Linked DNA regions of Sus scrofa. The main gene of each other region encodes a partner of the protein of the gene in region 2 in a complex. Links are inferred from orthologs where the notes say so. Each region holds a gene or a part of one and is shown on either strand. Other genes may lie near its edges.

The links.
Region 1: the proteins of SIN3A (region 2) and SAP25 are in contact, whole or in part, in an NMR structure (PDB 2RMS), measured with the Mus musculus proteins. The link is inferred for Sus scrofa from reciprocal best matches to the Homo sapiens genes SIN3A and SAP25. Residues at the interface, in NP_001103821.1 of Mus musculus: Leu121, Lys122, Val123, Ala126, Leu127, Leu130, Tyr144, Phe147, Leu148, Met151, Lys152, Phe154, Lys155, Thr161, Val164, Phe182, Phe185, Leu186, Pro187; in NP_001075431.2 of Mus musculus: Ala208, Glu209, Ile211, Ala212, Leu213, Ala214, Gly215, Leu216, Leu217, Gln218, Met219, Ser220, Glu223.

Annotation. Positions count from the first base shown.
Region 1 is NC_010445.4:8,493,920-8,504,294, forward strand, and holds SAP25 (histone deacetylase complex subunit SAP25), read right to left. Parts: upstream 6,496-10,375; 5' UTR 5,037-6,495; coding exon 4,903-5,036; intron 4,701-4,902; coding exon 4,600-4,700; intron 4,511-4,599; coding exon 4,404-4,510; intron 4,311-4,403; coding exon 4,163-4,310; intron 4,084-4,162; coding exon 3,986-4,083; intron 3,903-3,985; coding exon 3,609-3,902; 3' UTR 3,530-3,608; downstream 1-3,529. Other genes in the region: insulin receptor substrate 1-like, read left to right, coding at 912-1,317, 1,396-2,639; LRCH4 (leucine-rich repeat and calponin homology domain-containing protein 4), read right to left, coding at 6,740-7,081, 7,175-7,312, 7,456-7,541, 8,041-8,124, 8,232-8,341, 8,443-8,511, 8,642-8,770, 8,875-8,936 and 5 more. UniProt on the Homo sapiens protein: Involved in the transcriptional repression mediated by the mSIN3A but not the N-CoR corepressor complex.
Region 2 is NC_010449.5:58,209,187-58,218,830, forward strand, and holds part of SIN3A (paired amphipathic helix protein Sin3a), read left to right. Parts: intron 1-750; coding exon 751-903; intron 904-1,042; coding exon 1,043-1,201; intron 1,202-3,448; coding exon 3,449-3,538; intron 3,539-6,069; coding exon 6,070-6,188; intron 6,189-6,764; coding exon 6,765-6,975; intron 6,976-7,304; coding exon 7,305-7,421; intron 7,422-9,644. UniProt on the Homo sapiens protein: Acts as a transcriptional repressor. Corepressor for REST. Interacts with MXI1 to repress MYC responsive genes and antagonize MYC oncogenic activities. Also interacts with MXD1-MAX heterodimers to repress transcription by tethering SIN3A to DNA.

The DNA of each region.
Region 1 (10,375 bases), on a different chromosome or scaffold from region 2:
TCATAGGTGGCAGGTGTGGCTGAAAAAGGGGAAAAAAGAAATGGATGTAAAAGTGCCTGAATCCCAACCCCATTTCAAACTTCTTGGGATGCAAGGGGGCAAAGGGTACCCCCATGAAGACACCTCCTGTCACCCCAACCCTGCAGAGAACCTGAACCTCCAGCTCCACCGAGGTCAACTTAGCCCAGTGCTCGGCGGCCCTGGCTCCTAGGATTACTTGGAAAGGAAGAGAACAGAACCATTCTGAGCGGGACCGGGGAGGCAGGGGACACGGGTGCTGGCGGCCTAGAGCCGGAAGGGGGTCCCGCTGTAAAGGCAGCCGGCTTAGCAGCCCCCTTACCTCCAGGACTGCGGACGAGGCCGCCAGCGGTCACCACGGACGTAGCTCCACGCACACTCTCTTCACCTCACAGCTTTCTCCGCGCTCAGGTCGGGTCAGAAGAGACGCCCCCAACACCTCCCCGCCCCGGCACCAGCCCAGGCCGAGGCCGCCTCTCCCGCACTCGGCAACTCAAACTCCACGCCCACCGCGCGGAGTCCAGCTCCGGGGCGCGTGAGGGTTAACCTCGCGGGGGTGGGGACTTGGGCGCAGTCGGCGTTGGGAGGGAGGGGAGAGGAGGCGGCGGGAGGCCACTGGGTTGAGGCTCCGAGCCCGGCGGAGCCTCGGGTGTCTCAGGCCGTCGAGCAGTCACTGGGTCACACGCTGCGCGCAGCGAGGGGCCACTGCAGACCCCCTGCCCCAAACTTCAAGTCGGGAGCGGGGGAGAGAGACGCCGGGCATTAAGGCAGTGGCAGCCTGTCAGGACGCTGCCCCCTCCCCCGGGACCGCTACCTCTAGAACCCCACCTCGGCGAGCCTCTTCCCAGCCGTCTCCGCTCCTGCTCCGGCCACTTGGTCGCCTTTGGCCCAGGATGAAGCCCAGAGGCGGCGGCGGCGGCAGCCCCACGACGGCCCCGGAGTCTGAGTCGGCCGACGTGGCCCTGGGTCCGCTGTCGCCCTGGGCCTGCCCGGCTGACGTGCGGCTCTGCGGCCACCTTCGGAAGCACAAGTCCCAGCACCGCCGCTTCTTCGTGCTCCGCGCGGACCCGCCGCGCCTCGAGTGTTACGAGAGCGAGAAGAAGTTCCACGCCGGCCGAGCGGCTCCCAAGCTCAGCGTGAGCCTGACGGGCGCGTGCACCATCAGCAAGCGCGTGGACGCGCGCCAGCGCCACCTGATCTTCCTCTTCACCGCCGACCGCAGCCTGGGCGTGGCGGCGGCCAGCGAGGCGGAGCAGCAGGCGTGGTACAGCGCCCTGCTTGAGGCGCGCGCCGCCGCCGGTGAGGCCCAAGCCCAGGGTGGGAGGGTGGGGGGGGTGATCGTGGATTTGGCTTATCCGTAGGCTGTCCCTCCCCCAGGTCTCCGAAATCCAATCCAAAATGAAGCGTTTACGCGTTGTCAGTCCCCGGGGCACACTGACTCCAAGCTCCCGGCCCAGAAGCTCTGTGACCCGCCTGTTGTCTCTCCAGGGCCCAGCTCCCACGAGGACCCCGAGGCCTGGATGCTCGCTCCGTTTCAGGACATCTGGCCCGTGACGCTGCGGCCCAAGGGGCTGGGGCAGACACGAGGCCTGGGCAGCGGCGGCTACTGCTTGTGCCTGGGTTCCGGGGTACTGAGCCTGCTGCGGAAGCCCAGGGGCAGAAGCTCCAGGGCCACCCAGGCACCTCCGCCCCCAGCCCTGCGCCTGTCCCTGCTCAGCGTGCGCCGCTGTGGTCACGCAGACTCTTTCTTCTTCCTGGAGCTCGGGCGCTCAGCACCCACAGGTCCCGGGGAGCTGTGGCTACAGGCGCCCGATGCTGTGATGGCCCAAAGCATTCACGAGACTGTCCTGGCCGCCATGAAGCGAATCGGGGACACTGGTGCTAGTGGCAGGACTGAGCCACTGCCAAGAAAGCCCCCGACGAGGGCCCCCAGACCCTCTGAGACCCCAGCCTCTGCGGCTCAGTCAGGCAGCCTGAACCGTCTGGGGTGCCCTAGTGAGAGGAGCGAGCAAGCAACCCCTAAGACGCTGGCGATGCTGGGGGCAGCGGCCTCACAGCCTGAGGGGTTGGGGCGGGGCGGGGGCTACATAACCATGGGAGCCAGGAGAGACTACGTGCCCATGGGAGACGGGCAAGCCAGCAGCTACGTGGTGATGGCGCCCCTGGGCCTCCCTGCCTCGGCCAAAGCCGCTCCCCATCAGCCACCTCTGGATGGCGGGCACTCTGAATACGTGTCCATGAGCCGCTGTGCACCACGGTCCCTTTTCTTGAGCTCTTTGCCCGGTTCCTACAGGCCTGGGGCCGGGGAGCCTGAAACGGGGCTCCAAAGCCCTCCTCTGCGCGTCGGAGGCAGCTGGGGCCCCACAGGGGCTCAGCCCTGCTTGCAGCCGCCGTCAGAGCTGGCCGGGGAGTACGTGTGCATCGAGTACTCGGACCACGTAGCCACACCCGAAACCCCCGCCAGCTGCCTCAACTACGTCGACCTGGACCTGGTCCCTCCCCTGGAGGCGGGAGGCAACGCCCCCGGGGCCAGGCACGGCCCGCACAGCTACGCCCGCATAGAGTTCCAGAACTCTGGGGAGGCCCGAGGGAGGAGACCCTGGCAACCCCGTCTGGTTTAACTGACAGACGGAGACGGCGGGAGAAAACAGGGCAAAGTTAAGAGTGCTTTCCTGCCCACGCCCCTCAACCCCACAGACCCCTTCCCTGAGACGGAGAGGCTCTAAAGCAGAGATGTCCCCTAGGAGGTGTGACCCGCAGAGGCTTGCTAAGCTGCTTCTTGGGGCCTGGTGCCCACTCCGCCCCTTTCAGCTGTGCCGCCTGGGAAATCTTTGGGAGGAGGTTCCCCAAGAAGCTGGATTCTTTTAAGGGAGAAAATTCTAGAACTCTCCCTCCCCTTGAAAACAAACCCCCAAAACCTCCACAACCTCACAGATTTCTGGACATTCTCAGCCAAAGCCCTGATCCTGTTTCCCCCAGAGGCCCCGCAGCATCACTCCAGAGCCTTAAGTCAGGCCCCTGCCCCGGCCTCGGCTGCGGAAGATATGGACCTGGACCTGCCCCTGCCCCTCCCCCGCAGGCCCGCAGGGCTGGCCTGGTGTATCTTTGGAGCCAAAGAACCACCCCCGAGACATACACACACGTCCAGCCTCAGGGCTGAACTCCTGGGGCCCCAGAGCACCAGGAGTCCTACACTAGGGCCTCCCCAAAGTGAGGCACCCCCTTACTCCCTAGTTTCCCTCTCCCAACGCCAGCTCTGTGCTCACGATCCTCCCTGCTCCCAGAGCTGGCAGAGCTGATGGAGTCCTTGCTTCCTATATAATTAGTCTAAGAGACTAGACTCCCCACCCCGCCCCCGACATTAAAGGTTCCCTGCTTGGTCAGCTGGAAAGATCTTAGGTCCATGGATTCCCCCGCCCTGGAGGGGGTGGGGAGGGCAGCCAAAACCGTGGTGGAGGAGGGGACCCCATCCCTGCCTCCACAACCCACTCTGCTATCTACCACGAGGAACTTGTCTGCAAACCAACACTGTTTTATTGTCAACAGAACCTGCCTGGGGAAGTAGGGGGCCCACTCTGCCCCCAGAGAGGCTATGGACCATGGGTGTCTGGGGTTCGTGGGAGAGATGGGTCAGTGCAGTGAGAACAGCTTTGGGCACCACTGGCACCCGGGTGGTCAGAGACGAGGTCTGGGGGGCCGGGAGGGGGCGGGGGAGCCCCGGAGAAGCTGGGCCTCGGCTCCCCCTGGCTCATCTGCAGGAGACCGGTGAGGGCGATCAGCTCGGGCCCACTGAGCCAGGCGGTGGGACAGCCAGAGGATGGAGTGGGGAGCACCCAGGGGGACATGATCGGGGGTGGGAGCAGCAGCTTCAGAGAGCCCATCACCTGAGGAGAGAGGAGGGGCAAGTGTCTCTTCCCAAGCCCTGCGGTGAGCGCTGGGGTGAGGCCAGGGCAGGAAGAGCGCTCACCTGCTGAGGGGGCTCGGACAGGTATAGGGGAACACGCTGCCCACAAGGCAGAAGAGGGTCTGAAAGAAAGACATCTTCACAGGACATCACAGGGAGCCCTGGGGAGGAGAAAGAAGCTACTAGGGCAGCAAGCTCTGCTCCGGTTCCCTGCAGAGCTGAGGGGACCAAGGGCAGTACCTGCATCCCTCGGCACCTGCTCTCGGCTCCAATGTCCTGTCAGACCCGGCCTGAGGCCTCTGCCTGAGACTGCCTCATACAGGGGCCAGAATGACGGATGACACAAAGTCCGGCCTGAGAAGGAGGCACCAGATGCACAGCTGGGTCCCTGGAGAGACAGGTGAGGTTCCTGCAGCTTCAGCCCCATCCCAAGGCAGCCCTGCCCCACCCGAGGCCAGAGCCGCAGGTACCCCCAACTCACCCACACCTGCCGTGGTTCTGCTTGAGCCTCATAGTTGGGGTCCCAAGGTGTTAGCAAGGTCATCCTTGATGGGGCCACCTCCCAGGTCATCTCGGGGGAGAGAGGACCTGGGGGGAGGGGACTTGAAGCAATTAAGACAGGCTCAGGAATCGGTAAAAGCGTCTTAGGAGAAAAAATGGCAGGACCTTAAACCTACCTGGGGTTCCCGAGGACCGCTCTGCAGCCAAGCATGGGGGCCTCCAAGGCAGCAGCTGCTCTTTCCAGGTCCAGGAAGGCCTTAGGGACCTGGGCTGAGGGCTGAGAGGGGGTGGTACTGAGATGCTCCAGTCACAGCCTCTCCCAGTCACCTCCCTGCTCCAAATCTGAGTTATTTCCAAGGCAGGCCCAAGGGTGCCCAGGGCGGGGAGAAGGCTCACACCCATTCTTCAGCAGGGACACTGAGATTTTCTCACATTGTGGGCTCCTGTTTCCCCCAAGAGCCGCCAGCCAAGCCCCTCACCTGTCCTGTGGTGGTGTTTCCGGCTCCTCTCCAGAGTCCCAGGTCTGGCCGGGGTTACTGCCCATCCAGGGGCCTTGTTCCTCGGGCGCCGGCTCCCCGCCCGCGCCCCACCGCCGGGGGGTCCAGGGCAACATGCCCCGTCTGGGTGCAGGGCTGGGCAGCACCTCCGCGCCCTCCGCCCGCCTGGCCGCTCCTGGAACCCACTCGGGCTCTACCTCCCTTAGCGGCCAGCGGAGCCCTAAGCGTCCCGGTCCCCGCGAGCCCAGGTCGGCCCACCTCTCAGGGCCTCGCGACGCCGGCGCCCAGCGCGTTTCCGGGCCACGTGGCGCGCGCTCCCGCCGGGATCCCGTGGGCGCCCCCTGGCGGCGGGGGACCTGTGGCGCCCAGTGGAGATGCGGGCGACCCAGCTTTCGTTCGCAGACACACACACATACACACACACCCCCCGAGGGGCAACCTAGATGGCTTCTGGCCTCTCTTTATTGCACTTGACACAATATTCAGGGCCCTCCTGCCATCCCAGACCCACGGCCGCACCCAGAGGTGACCACGCGCCTTGCTGGGCCGGCTTCCAATCTCTCAGGCCGAAGTGCCCGAGGAACAGGGCCAGGCCCGAGGCCGCCCTCACCAGTCCTCGCTAGAGAGCAGAGCCCAGGCGTGTCTGTCTTCTGTTCCTGGGGTCCTGGCCGGGTCGCGGCCCTGCACCCCCGACCTCAACCCCTAAGGCCGTTCCAGCAGTGCGTGGACGACAGCAGCGATGTAGGGGAGGCCCCTTCCCGGAGCCCCCTCCTCCTCCAGGATGTGGTGGGGCTGGCACAGGGACTCCTGGAGGGAGGGGCCAGGTTAAGTTCTTGTCACCTCCTCCTCTCGGCTGTAGGGTGGAAGGCACCCTGGAGGAGCCTGGGCAAAGGCGGCTGACAGCATGTAGGGGACAAAGGTCAGGGGCACCCTGGACATGGCTTGAGGACAAATGAGATGCAAGGAAGCTGCCAGTGGGTGACAGAAGGAAGATGACACAGGGGGCCAAGGCTCAGAGGGAAGGAGAGACCTGACATTTCCAGAGGGAAATGCTGGAGTAGGCAGGCTGGCACATGGAGCCCAAGGGACACGGCCAGGGCTGGGCCCAGGCACAGAGGGAGCAGACGCAAACACACATACACATACACACACACACACACACACACAGGTGGCCACAGTCTGTACAATTTATACAAGAGACAGGGACCCAGCCTGGGCCCCTCATCCCCTACAAATATAGAGTTCTCTCTACAAAATATAGATAATTTAGCCCCCCCTAGCGGGGGGGGGGAGATTAGGATCCACCCTCTGGGGAAGCAGAGGGCAGGGCAGGGAGAGGCTCGAAGGCACCGTCAGCGCTGAGAGGGGAGGGGCTACAGGAGGCGGGCCAGAGGCTGCGGGCCCAGGGTCTGGGGGCACCAGAGTGGGGCCTCTGAGGTCAGTGTTTCTGAGGGGAGGGGGCTCACTAGTGTCTTTGGTAGGGGCTGAAGGCACCACCGGTGGGGATGGGGCTCCCACGGGAGTCTTATAAATAGAAACAGGGCGAGGGGGTAAGGGCAGGGGTGACTTCAGGTCCTAAGAACCCAGGAGCCGAGTGTAGACGACACAGAGCAGCAGCATGAGGACGACGTAGAAGAAGATGAAGCCGCCCAGACCAGAGGGAGGCCAGAGGGGTGGGGGAGGCCTGCCCCCCACCCGCTTCACGGCCTCCAGGGTGGTCCACAGCCCCTGGGCGGTGCCCTGGAGGAGGTCCGAGGGCGAGCACAGGTCAGCCTGGGAAGGGAGAGTAGGACAGATGGACAAGGACAAAGGACACACGTCAGCAGCAGCAGCACGACGATCCTTCCCACCCCCTGCCCTCACGTGCCAGGGCCAGAGCCACGCCAACATGCAGAGTGCAGGGAAGGGGGGCACGCAGGGGACACATGCAGGCTCGGGGCTGGGGGACGTGCTTCCTTCTGGGGAGCAGACACCCCCCAGGAATGCAGTCCCGCCGTCCATGCAGAGTGCTCAGCTGAGCCCAGGACACGGCACTCTTTAGAGCAGAGACCAGCCCTGGGCTCCTGAGAACACACCCCCATACCTCAGGCACCCCCATTTTTCGACAGGCTTCTAAGAAACTCTCCACATTCTTCCGAGACTTGAGGGCACTGAGTTTTGGCTGGGGGTGGGTAAGGAAGAAAAAAAAAGTAAGGGAGAAGCCACAGGAGTCCCCCGTCCCAACCCCTACTTCCTGTCCTGGGCCCCAACTGACCACAGCAGGCGAGGGCACGTGAATGAAGGGCACAGACCGCGGCCGCAGCTGGTTGGCCAGCTGACAGAGGATGACCCCACTGGCCAGAGCCTCGGCCAGGTCCTCGGGCAGGGGCCGCTGCAGCCGTGACTCAAGGACCTGGGAGGCAGGGGGAGCCGGGAGAGAGGTCAGGGTCAGCAGGGAACCCCCTCCCGTCCCTTCCATCTTCCGCGGAAGTACCAGGGTGGGCGGAGAGGATGTCGAGGGAAGCCCAGGCCCCACGCAGACCCCGCCTCTCATACCTGGCGCAGCTGAGCCATCACCTCCTTTTCGTCCAACAGCTGAGGGGATCGCCGAGGTCTCAGGACAGAGTCTGGTGAGGAAGGGCCTGGAGAAAGAGGAAGGTGTGGGGCTGTCTCCACTGGCCTCCACCCACCTTGTAGCCAGTTCGCAGTGTCTGGCACCCACATCTCCTGCCTCTGTGCTCATGGGATTTGCAACACAAAAAGGCAACTGAGGAGTTCCCATGGTGGCGCAGTGGAAACGAATCCGACTAGGAACCATGAGGTTTGTGGGTTCGATCTTTGGCCTCGCTCAGTGGGTTAAGAATCCGGAGTTGCTGTGAGCTGTGGTGTAGGTCGCAGACGTGGCTCAGATCCCCTGTTGCTGTGGCTCTAGTATAGGCCGGCTGTTGTAGCTCCCATTGGATCCCTAGCCTAGGAACCTCCATATGCTGCGGGTGAGGCCCTAGAAAGCAAAAAAAAAAAGAAAGGGCAACTGAGCAGAGAACTCCCAGGCCAGCAGAAGGGATGACCCCAGCCCATGGCTTAGTACTGGGTTAGTACTGGATTAGCACTGGGTTAGTACTGGGGCGGGGGAAGACCCACCTGAGCCACTCTGAGAAGAAGAACGGAAGAGGAAGCTGTTTGGTCTCTGGATGGAGCCGAGCGGCCGGGGAGCCGGGGCGGTTGCTGGGGGCCAGAGCCAGGGGGCAGGGGCAGGTGAGAGAAACATCCCCGCAGGGTCCTACTCCCTCTCAGGCCACCAGGTCTCCCTCTTCCCAAAGCCCCTGTCCCACCTGGTTCAGCTACAGGAAGGGGCTCCTGGCAGGTGGAAGCCGGAGTGGGGGCAGGGGCTCCCTGCCCCCCTGAAGCTCCCTGCTGGGGGGCACTGGGCTTAGGTGTGCTGCTGAGGAGAAACAGAAGGAGAATGAGAGGGGGGAGTCAGGGGAGGGGTGTGAAGGGACAGGATGGAGTGGGGGGAGGGGGGGAGTCCAGGAGGACACATACTTGTAGGTGGCCTGAGCGGATGAGGCAGCAGCACCCCCACCAGCAGCCCTGACTCCCAACTTCAGAAAACTGGAAAATGGAGGAGGACATGTGGGGTGAGTAGTGCCAGGCAGGGGCCCCGCCAACCCTGACTGGCAGAGAAGCTCAGGAGGGCTTACTCCCAGAGCCCACCGCCCGGCAGTCACCCCCAGGCCCGCACCTGTCCTTCCTGGGGGCCCCCCACACCCCACTCTGCTGCTGCTGCTGCTGCTGCTGCCGCCGCTCACGCTCCTGCCACAACTGCAAGGTGTCTGGGCGCCGGCGCTCCTCCCCTGCAGGCTCCTCCCGCCTGAGGGGCAAAGGCAGAGGAGAGGTAGAGCCGGGTCCAGGGAGGGCAGAGGTGCGGGTGATGGGGTAAAGGGAGGAGGTGCAGGCTCAGGCAGCTCTGGGTACCTGCTGCTTGGCGCCCTCTCCCTGTCCCCTGCCACGGGGCTCGATTCTGGTGGCCGCTGCTCCTGAAGGAATAACAGCAGAGGGGCTGAGGGGGTCCCTCGAGCCTGCTCTAGTGCCCTCCCTGCAGCCCGCTGGTGGCGGACACACACGTGAAAGCAGGCAGCCCTCACCTCGCCAGCACCTCGATCTTCCTCCTCCCCAGGGACGTGGCTGTCGATGAAGTCAATCTGCTCGGGGTCTCCGTCGGCTGGAGAGAGGGCAGGTCAGCCAGCAGATGGGGGCCTTTAGGCCCTCATCCATTCCCCCGAGCCCCCAGCCTAACCCCACAACTCACCAGAGCCATCCTCCCTCCGCTCCCTGGGTCCCCGAGGCTCCCGGGCCAGCTCCGAGATCCGGAACGACAGCTCAGAAAACTCATCCGTCGACTGTAAATGCAGAGATGCACAGAAGGGAGACAGGCTCTCTGGGGTTGGGGGCTCCCAGTGCTCAGGGCCTCAGGCTCTGCTCCTGAGCCAGCCCTTCCCAGAGATACAAGGGCGAGGGAAGGAAGACGACAGCTCCAGCCACCAGCTGTCACTCTGAGATTTAGAGGCAGCAGGCAAAGGGTCCCAGCTCAGAGGCTCCCCCCAGGGTGGAGATGCCCAGTGTCCAGGGAAAGAAGGCCTTTACCTCATTTCCAGACCACCTCTTGCTGCCACTGTCAACGCTGTGGAAGCCTGAGTCCAGCCCACCGTCGTACCGACGTCCCGGAAACAAGTCCTCAGCTGGGCTGGGGTCAGCAGCGAGAGCTGCTCAGCCCTACTGTGGGCTGGGCAGCAACCTCCCAACCTGCCCTCCATGGGGTCCCTGCCAGGAAGGGGTTAAGTATCCAGGGGCTTCCTTCCTTCCCACTTGAAACTTACCAGGGACTGAAACTCGGGGGGCGGGAAGGGGCCAGGTCTCCCAGTGCAGACCCCCCGCGCCGCCCAGCCTCCGTTGACAAATACTTGAAGATGTGAAGTTTCCCCTTCAGGCAGACCTAGGTGTGGAGGCACATGGAGGGGTAGTTAGGGGACAGGAGGGTGCTCCCCAGATCCTGCTTGGCTACCGAAGGGACCGACGCCCCAACTTCTGCCCATTCTCAGCCCTGTCCGCATGGCCCAGCCCAGGCCACCCCTCACCTGAGCAGGTGGGCTTTGCAGGGGGTTGCTGTCCAGCAGAATGACCTGCAGGTGCCTGAGGCGGCAGAAGGAGACCGGGATGCGGGAGACACGGTTACAGGAGAAATCCAGGCGGACAAGAGGAAGGTCCCCCAGCTCTGGGGGTGGGTGAGGGGAGAGTCAGGAGCATGCCCAGGGGTGGGCTTTGTGCTCACTGCCTCTGCCCCCTGCTCTGACCAGCCGGTCACCCCTGGGGCCACCAAGCCTCACGTCCCAGGAACCACCTCCCTGCTCTTCTTCCCGCTCAAAGCGAGTTCAGCTGCTGCCCATCCCAGGTGCTGCCCCCCCCACCGCCCACTCCA
Region 2 (9,644 bases):
TTTATTTATTGCTTTTTAGGGCTGTACCCACAGCATATGGAAGTTTCCAAGCTAGGGGTCGAATCGGAGCTGCAGCTGCCACAGCCATAGCAATGTAGGATCCAAGCTGTATCTTCAACCTGCACCATAGCTCACAGCAACCAGTGCGGGATCCTTAACCCACTGAATGAGACCAGGTATCAAAGCTTCATCCTCATGGATACTAGTTGGGTTTGTAACCTTCTGAGCCACAACAGGAACCCCCACTGCCCTAGTTTTAAAAGGAATTAAGTCTCAGCCGCCATCTTCCACTTATTTCTCAACTTAAAAACTAGAGGCTAGAACAGGTGCTAAAACATAGTCTTTCTTTCCTCTTAAGTACAGCCCAAAAGTCGGTAAAATACAGAGCTCCTGTCAGACATCTCAGAAAGTGTGCAAAAGTGAGTCATTCAAAACAGTGGCCCTTGGGGTTCCCGTCATGGCTCAGCCATTAACAAACCTGACTAGTATCCATGAGGACGAGGGTTCGATCTCTGGGTTAAGGATCCGGCATTGCCGTGAGTTGTGGTGTAGGTCGCAGACGCAGCTCTGATCTGGCATTGCTGTGGCTGTAGTGTAGGCCAGCAGCTATAGCTCTAATTCAACCCCTAGCCTGGGAACTTCCATATCTCTTGGGTGCAGCCCTAGAAAGACAAAAACAAAACAAAAACAAAAAACAAAGAAACAGTGGCTCTCTAATATGATCTCTTCCCATTTACAATTTCCTATTAGAAAGAGCAGCGAAATGCCAAGGAAGCTGGAGGAAACTACACTCCAGCGTTGACTGAGCAGGAGGTGTATGCCCAGGTGGCTCGTCTTTTTAAAAATCAGGAAGATCTGTTGTCAGAATTTGGACAGTTCCTACCAGATGCCAACAGCTCCGTGGTAAGTTTTATTTAGAACTGCGCTATTGAGAATGGTTAGCTCAGATAAGTTAGGGAGCTGGAATCAGAAGGAGACTTTTTCTGAAAGGTACTTTTTTGCTTTGATAAAAACATTAATCTTTTTCATGTGTCTTAATTAGCTTTTAAGCAAAACAACTGCTGAGAAGGTGGATTCCGTGAGAAATGACCATGGAGGCACTGTAAAGAAGCCTCAACTAAACAACAAGCCACAGAGGCCCAGCCAGAATGGCTGCCAGATCCGCAGACACTCTGGAACAGGAGCCACCCCTCCAGTGAAGGTGAGAGTGGGTGCAGCTGCTTATTTCGACTTCCTGGAACGATTCTAGTGGGCACGTGCTCAAGGTTTGACAGTTAGATCCTGATATTCAGAGTTGGTTTATGTCTCAGAACTCAATGCAAAACTTTTTACCTGGCCTTGTGAAAGAATGTTAGAATACTGCTTTGCTTTTGTTTTGTTTTTTTTTAGGTCCATACCCACGGCATATGAAAGTTCCCAGTTCCCAGGCTAGGGGTTGAGAATCAGAGTTACAGCTGCTGGCCTACACTAGCAGTGCGGGATCCAAGCTGCAGTCTGCCACATACACCACAGCTCACGGCAATGCTGGATCCCCAACCCACTGAGCAAGGCCAAGGATGGAACCCGCATCCTCATGGGGTGACTAGTCAGATTTGATATCATTGTACCACAATGGGAACTCCCAGAATACTGCTAATTGTTCAGATTACTGTGCTTTTTTGAGTTCTTAATGGTTTTCCGTATGTTTTCTCTCTTCTTTGTGGTTAACTCTCATCTATTTTTTGTTTGTTTCTGCCAAGGGTTTCTGAGACTTAATTTTTCCCTTCTTGATTTGATGCCTTAAGCCTGCTTTGTGCTAAGTAAGATTATTAAGTTCGATAATTGTTCCCAAAATAAGTCAGTGGTCTCTGAGGTTCTTTTGTGAGTAAAGTGCATATGCTTTGTGGGATCTCTTCTTCGGTTTAGAGACCTATCCTGCTCAAGGTTCTTTTGGGTTGCCACATCTTACCTGTATCATCTTAATCTCCAAGGAGGAACTTTGGGCTGTAACAGGGTGGTCTTAAACTCCTCTTAGTGACCTATCTCATGATGCTTCTTGTTACAGCCAATACTGATGGTCTGCCTGCAAAAAGCTGAGCCCACTCCCTTTCTCTTTAATATGGGGCACCTGTGCTAGGGAGCAGACTAGGTGTATGTATTGAATGTTGAATTCTAACATATAGCATTGAAGAGATAGATGTGTCCGCAGAATTTAATTAAAGAATAAAAGCTAGTGTAACTTCTTACGGTAAGAAATGACCGAGGGAGTTCTTGTTGCAGTTCAGCAGGTTATGAACCTGACTGGTATCATTGAGTTCAGTCCCTGGTCTTGCTCAGTGGGTTAAGGATCTGACATTGCTGTGAGCTGTGGTGTAGGTCACAGACGCAGCTCAGATTGTGAATTGCTGAGGCGCAAGCCAGCAGCTGTAGCTCTGATTCCACCCCTAGCCTGGGAATTTCCATGTACCTCAGGTGTGGCCCTAAGAAGCAAAAAAAAAAAAAGGACTGATAAACCAGCAAATGACCGCAAAGACTGACCTGTTATGGATTGCTGACACTTTGAAGAACTATTTTTCAATGTTTTTAATAGTTTCTCCTTTTGGAAGCAAGTTGAACATAGCAGTAGTTTATATTTCCTCACTTTAGTAAGGAGTGTTTTATGAGTAGTAAGAACAGGTCAGGAGACATGCTTCAATCTTGGTCTCCTCCCACACTTGATGACCCACAGGTGGAAACACTATATTGGGAGGTTAGAATTCCCTATCTGCCTTCTCCTTAGGCAATATAAGTAGAGGCTGTGGCTCCTGCGAGAGAGTGTTCTCCAAGGTGGCGGAGGTTAATGTGCAGCTTCTCCCAAAGTTTGTGCATTTCTTGACATGTAGTTTAGAGGTGGCTTTTTTAAAGTAAATTTTTTGCTTGGTAGTTATATCATGGCCTATTCATTTGATTTGAAAGAGCAGTCTTAACTCTGGTTTGAGTGGCTTCTGCCAGCAAGGTAATTATTCCTTCTAATAGGAAAATATACTGCTTTTTTCGTGAATTTTCAAACTGATTAAAAGGTGAAGGTTAAAGATTGATTTCTATGTACTCCAGCTCTTTTTAAAAACTTTTCTGCCTCCACAGCTAAGAAGACAAGGCATTGGCATTAGGTTCTAAATTTTTTTGCCTATGGAAAAAGTAAGGATATTAATTCTAACATCATAGTAGTGCTGTGACCATTTATAGAGAGTATTTGGGGAGTAGAATGATCTGTGAACCTCTAGGAAAAAACCGACGGCAATCTGAAATAGAAAAGAGTGGAAATCTTTCAGGATGTAAGGCAAGTTAGTGACTTGGATTCTCTTATTTGTTGCAAATTACTAATCAGTGGCGGATTAGTGATGGAACTATCAAACAGAGATGAAAACGAAACTCAGAAAACTTCTTTGAATCTTATGTGTCTGTCCTGTATTCTTCCTTTTTTTTGCAGAAGAAACCCAAACTGCTCAGTCTCAAGGATTCTTCTATGGCAGATGCCAGCAAGCATGGTGTAGGAACGGAATCGTTATTTTTTGATAAGGTGAGTGTTGAATGAATTGGATTTAATATCAGCTCTTAATGCCCAAAGAAAATAACCTCGTCCCCCAAAAGATTTTGTTTTAGAGACATCAAGATAATTAGGTAGGACTTTTTTTTTTTTTTTTTTTTTTTTTAAGGATTTTCTACTTTTTAACAGTTTCCAAATTGTAGGTCCTTTCAGTCTATGAGAACTATTAGCACAGCTAGAGAAATGGTAGCATTGACTGCTTGGGTTTTGTGAAGTAGTTTGAAGCAAAATATAGCATTTGCCATCATGGAAGAAAGCTTTTAAAAAAGGCATATTGCTCTCAAAAGATGTTTGGAGCTCCTCATTGTAGATGCCCAGAACTATATAGTGAGGAGTGTCAGTATACTAATTATTGAGGACTTAAGATGACTTGTAACCTTCTAATTGTTATACTTGTTCGAGGTATGGCATATAGGGTTAATGGGAATTCTGATTTCCTTGTATGTTTTCAAAGCTCCCCAGGTGATTCTAATGAGCAGACAGGGTTGCGATTACAGGTGTAGTCAGTGTTGTGTGGTGTGTGAGTCTGACTTCCTCCTTGGAGTCAGTTTAATTAGCAGGCTACTTTTATCATAGTGGCTAGCAAACTTCAGACTTCTCACTGGCTGGAGCCAGCCTGGATTGATCTGGTGGTGACTTACCGTGTCTTGCATCCTTGGGTTTTTGCCGAAGGGCAAATGATTATCTCCAGAATTGGTGCCTCTCGATTTGTCTCTAGCCCTCCTGTGCCTATGCGAGCTGTGCTGCAAAATAGTCCCTGGCTCTAGCTTTGACCTGAACCATTTCTGAGGGCTCTCTGGGCCTTTGGGGCTTTTGAGGCAGATGTGAAGTCCAGGTCACAACTGACAAATGGCAAAGAAAGGGTAAGAGAGGGGGACTGAATAAGTTAATTTTTTTAAAGAGTAGTATTTTTTATTGCTGTTTTTGAAGTACTTGTTTCTTAGAGATGACTGAAGTGTGTATAGCTGAAAAGTCTGGAGTTTGCTTTAGAATTCAGTGGTGGGGGAAATGGGTGTAGATGAAACAAAATTTACTGTGTATTGATTGTTGAGGCTGGCTCAGTATATAGGGTTTATTAGACTATTCTGTCTACTTTTGTATAAGTTTAAAACTAACAGAGGAATTTCCGCCGTGGCTCAACAGAAACTAATCTGACTAGTATCCATGAGGACGCAGGTTTGATCCCTGGCCTTGCTCGATGGGTTAAGGATCCGGTGTTGCCCTGAGCTATGGTGTAGGTTGCAGACATGGCTCAGATCTGGTGTTGTTGTGGCTGTGGTGTAGGCCAGCAGCTACAGCTCCCATTTGACCCCTAGCCTGGGAACCTCCATATGCCGTGGATGCGGCCTTAAAAAGACAAAAAAATAAATAAAATAAATTTCGTTATGTTTTCACCCAGTGATTTATCTGGGCATGGGTTTGCAGAAATTGAAAATGGAAGAAATCAAAACAGCTAATTAAAAAATTTAAAAATATATATTAAGTAAAATTAATAATAAAAGCTAACAAATTAAAGTAATAGTATATATTCATCTTTTGCCTTGAAAATCCATATTCCATATAGTGTCTACCGATTGATAGTTATGAAAAGTATATGAGAGCCTGGGGAAGGGGTTTTTTGATAAACTACCGGGTTTGGTGAGTGAGGGTCTGCAATCCCCACAGTGCTAGATATATACACTTTTGACATTGAAACTCTAGATTGCTTATCTAGCCAGGCAAGTTTTACTGTGTCTATGCCACTGAACCTTTTTTTTTTTTTTTGGCCACACCTGGTGTGTGGAAGTCTCCAGGCTAGGGATCAAACCCATACTGCTGTTGCAACCTGTACCATAACTGTGGCCAGTACTGGATCCTTAACCCACTGTGCCACATGGAAACTTCCTGAACACCTAGGTTTTTGGATATTAAAATGCTTATTAGTGTTCTGAATGGAGGAAGGGAAAAGATCAAGTCAGAGGACAAAAGTACCTTATTTTAAAAGGTCATTATTCAAGATTACCAGAGTTTGAAAAGAGTGTTTATAAAGATTCTTGTATAAAGTCAGGAGAGGCAGCAGAATCTTGGGTAACTCTGATAGGGTGTGGAAAATCAAGCATGTAAAAATGTAAATGTCTTGTTTACTTCAAGGTCTCATTTTCCAAATTTTTATGGAAAATTTAAAACAAATGTGAAATTAAAGAGAATAGTAAAATGACCCTTCATATACCCATCATCCAGCCTCAGCAGTTCTTAGCTCCTAGTCGGTGTACTATTTGATGTGCACACAGCTATCCCAGATTATTTGGAGACAAATCCCACATGATATATTATTTCAACTGTAGGTATTTTACTAGGTTTCTTTTAAAATGATACCTTTTTTCCAAACATTATCGCATCTAAAAAACCTAGCATTGATTCCTTAATATCATCAAATAGCAGTTCAAATTTCCCCAATTTTAAACACAATCCAGGATCTCTTGATTCCCCACTTAACTATTTTTCCTTTCGATTGTCTCCATAAGGTCCGAAAGGCTCTGCGGAGTACAGAGGCCTATGAAAATTTCCTGCGCTGTCTTGTTATTTTTAACCAGGAGGTGATCTCTCGGGCTGAGCTTGTGCAGTTAGTCTCTCCTTTCCTGGGGTAAGTGGAATCAAGGGCTTAGCCTTGATGCCTGATATGGAGGTGAAATAAAACCTAGTTTGTGGGAGTACATGGTAGGTGAAATTAATTTGATTTTGGCAGGTCAGTTGACTCCTAAAATGTCCATGACAAGAGTCCTCTGGGAAGTCTTCTAGTTCCTCTCTGGAGACAAAAAAGTAGGCGAAGAAGGCATTGGCCAAGACTATGGTCTCCTGATCTCCTGACCGGTATTGGCTGTTTATAAAGCCAGTCTTTTCCAGGGTTATAGAATCCTGGCTTTGACAAATTAAGAATTATCTGAACATTGAAGCAATAATCTTGATTAGAAGAATGGCTCGTTATTGTCTAGTTTCAGTGCAGTTCTTCCATCACTACCTTAACTGATCTTTAGAGAAAGAGAAGAAAAGGAGAAACCACATATTCAGAAGAGTAGTGCTTCTTAGGCAGGAAATAATATTTATTATTGGAATTTGTCCAGTGGTAGCAGAGTTCTGACCCAACACCAAATAGTGGTAATCACACCTCAGTATAACTGCATCATGTTTATAGTTAACAATTTTTTATTTGATTCTTCAGGAAATTCCCAGAATTGTTTAATTGGTTTAAAAACTTTCTGGGCTATAAGGAATCTGTACATCTGGAAACCTTTCCAAAGGAACGAGCCACAGAGGGCATTGCTATGGAGATAGACTATGCCTCTTGTAAGCGGTTGGGCTCCAGCTATCGAGCCCTACCAAAGAGTTATCAGCAGCCCAAGTGCACAGGACGGACTCCTCTTTGTAAAGAGGTAAGGCCTTCCCAAGAAAAGATTAGCCCTGATTCCTTAACTTCCTCCAGAAGGGATTGTGGTACCAGGGATGGAGAATTGATATGAATGAGGAAGTCAAAACTCCTTTCTCTCTCCTTTTTTTTTTTTTTTTTTTTTTCCTGAGAAAATGTTTCACACTTACATTGAGAACCTTTTTCTGTTAATAGCTTTTGCAAACTTGCCATAGGTGAAACTTGTAATGTTAACTGTTTCTTCCTTCTAAAATTTTCTTTTTACTAAGAATGCTTAATCATCCACCAGAAAGCTTTGTTACACTTTTGTTTCAATTTCTCTTCTTTTACCCAAAGGTTTTAAATGATACCTGGGTCTCCTTCCCCTCCTGGTCTGAGGACTCCACCTTTGTTAGTTCCAAGAAAACTCAGTATGAAGAACATATCTATCGTTGTGAAGATGAACGCTTTGAGGTACAAGCTTCTTCATCATTTGAAGTTTGGGGAAATGGGAGATATGAAATGAGAGGGTATCTTAAATACCTACCTGGGAGGGTTGGCTCTTAAGACCAAAGAACCAGAGAGGCTCACATTCTTCTGTTGTGATTGTACTTAACCATGTTTTATGACTTTGTCAATTATCTTAGTGATATCTTTATGACAAATGTGATTTATCTAGGCCACTTTAACCTTTTTAGCTGAATTTAACCATTGATGGCTGAATAATACTTCTTTGAATTTTTAATGGCGTGAAGGTTATTGTGTTTTACATGGTATATAAAATGAGTATTTTAAGACCTTGTGGGCTTTCTTTGCAGCTGTTTTAAATTATTTATCTTAGAGGAGTTCCCTTCATGGCTCAGTGGTTCGTGAACCCGACTAGGATCCATGAGGACGTGGGTTCGACCCCTGGCCTTGCTCAGTGGATTAAGGATCCGGCGTTGCCATGAGCTGTGGTGTAGGTCATAGATGTGGCTTGGATCCTGCATTGCTGTGGCTGTGGTGTAGCCTGGTGGCTACAGCTCTGATTCGACCCCTAACCTGGGAACCTCCTCATGCCACAAGTGCGGCCCTAAAATAACAACAACAAAAAATGATTTATCTTAGAGTGTTATTCTTAGCAGGTATCATGACATGGTTAGCAAACCAACTCTCCAGTGAGAGCTAGAGCTCTTCTCTCATATTTCTGATACTGATGTGGCTCCTTCTGAAAGAAAGTTGAGTTAGGTACTGTATTTCAAAGTAGTTGGGAAGGAAAGAGCTGGAGTGAAGAAATGAGCTGGTAGAGAGCCCCCTATACCAGGAGTGGGGGTACTGAAAGTGGACTCACTCCCTAGTGTGTTTAAATGTCTAGTTCACTGACAACAACAAAAAGAGAATGATAAATGTGTCTAAAGAGGTGAAATTACAGGCATCCTATTTAATGTATGTATTATATAAAACTGGCCCTGCTCATTCCTGTAGATGGGAGATGTTTTGCTACTTTTTTAATCCATACTGATTTAGCTCTCTGCCAGTTAATCTCCCTTCACGCTTGCTTCGTCTGTTTCTGGCATGTTTTGAACGAAGAGCCACATGTTGCTTCACCACGGCAGGCACTCGGCCAATCTCTGCCCCAGCGTTTATGAGGAGCGTCACCCATTTGCAGAATACTCAATCGTGACAGATATTAGCTTCTATAGAAAGTTTTTATCAAGCTAAAGTATTTCTTTTTTACCTATGTTTTGCAAGGTCAGGTGATGAGTTAGGAAGCAGAGATTGGCATTGTTCTTGATAGAATATTCCTCTTCTCAGTTGGTATGCCTGCAAATGAGAGGCAACAGCCTCATTTCCCATTTGTGATTATAGGAGTGAAGATGAAAGAAACATGTATGTATGCATGTATGTATGCATGCATGTGCTTAGGATTGGATGGGATGGACTAGTGAAGGAGCATTCCTTTATATATCAGCATAGGTTAATATTCTTGCAGTGCAGACAACCTCCAAATCTCAGTGGCTTGAAAAAACAGATTTACTTCTTCATCATACTACATGTGCATTGATGTTTAGCAGGAGATTCTGCTCATCAGAATTACTTGGGGACCTAGGCTGACAAAATGCCACCATCTTGAACAACACCAGTGATTAGGGGGGAAAAAAGCTCAGATGGATCTTGCCCCCTGAAATCCTCAGGCCTAGAACAGATATTACTTCCACTAACCTGTTTACAACTCATTTTCCCGAACTAGTTACATGGCCCTCTCTAATCACAAAGGAGCCAAGAAGTTCAATCCATCATTTATCCATAACTGGAAAAGGAGGACCAGAAATATTTGACGAAATGACTACTGTAGTCCTGAAACTAGAGAACTTAGCAACACTCAGACATTTGGTTATATGCTCTTTAGAATGCTCACTTACTTCATTTTCTGTGTCTCATCTAGAGAATTTTGTGTTAAAAAGTTGTGGCGTTCCCATTGTGGGTTAGCAATAATGGACATGACTGGTATCCATGAGGATGCAGTTTCAATCCCTGGCCTCACTCATTGGTTAAGGATCCGGTGTTGCTGTGAGCTGCAGTGTAGATGGTAGGTGCAGCTCAGATCTGGCCTTGCCGTGGCTATGGTGTAGGTCAGCAGCTGCAGCTCCAATTCAGTCTGTAGCCTGGGAACTTCCATATGCCACAAGTGCAGCCCTAAAAAGCAAAAAAAAAGTT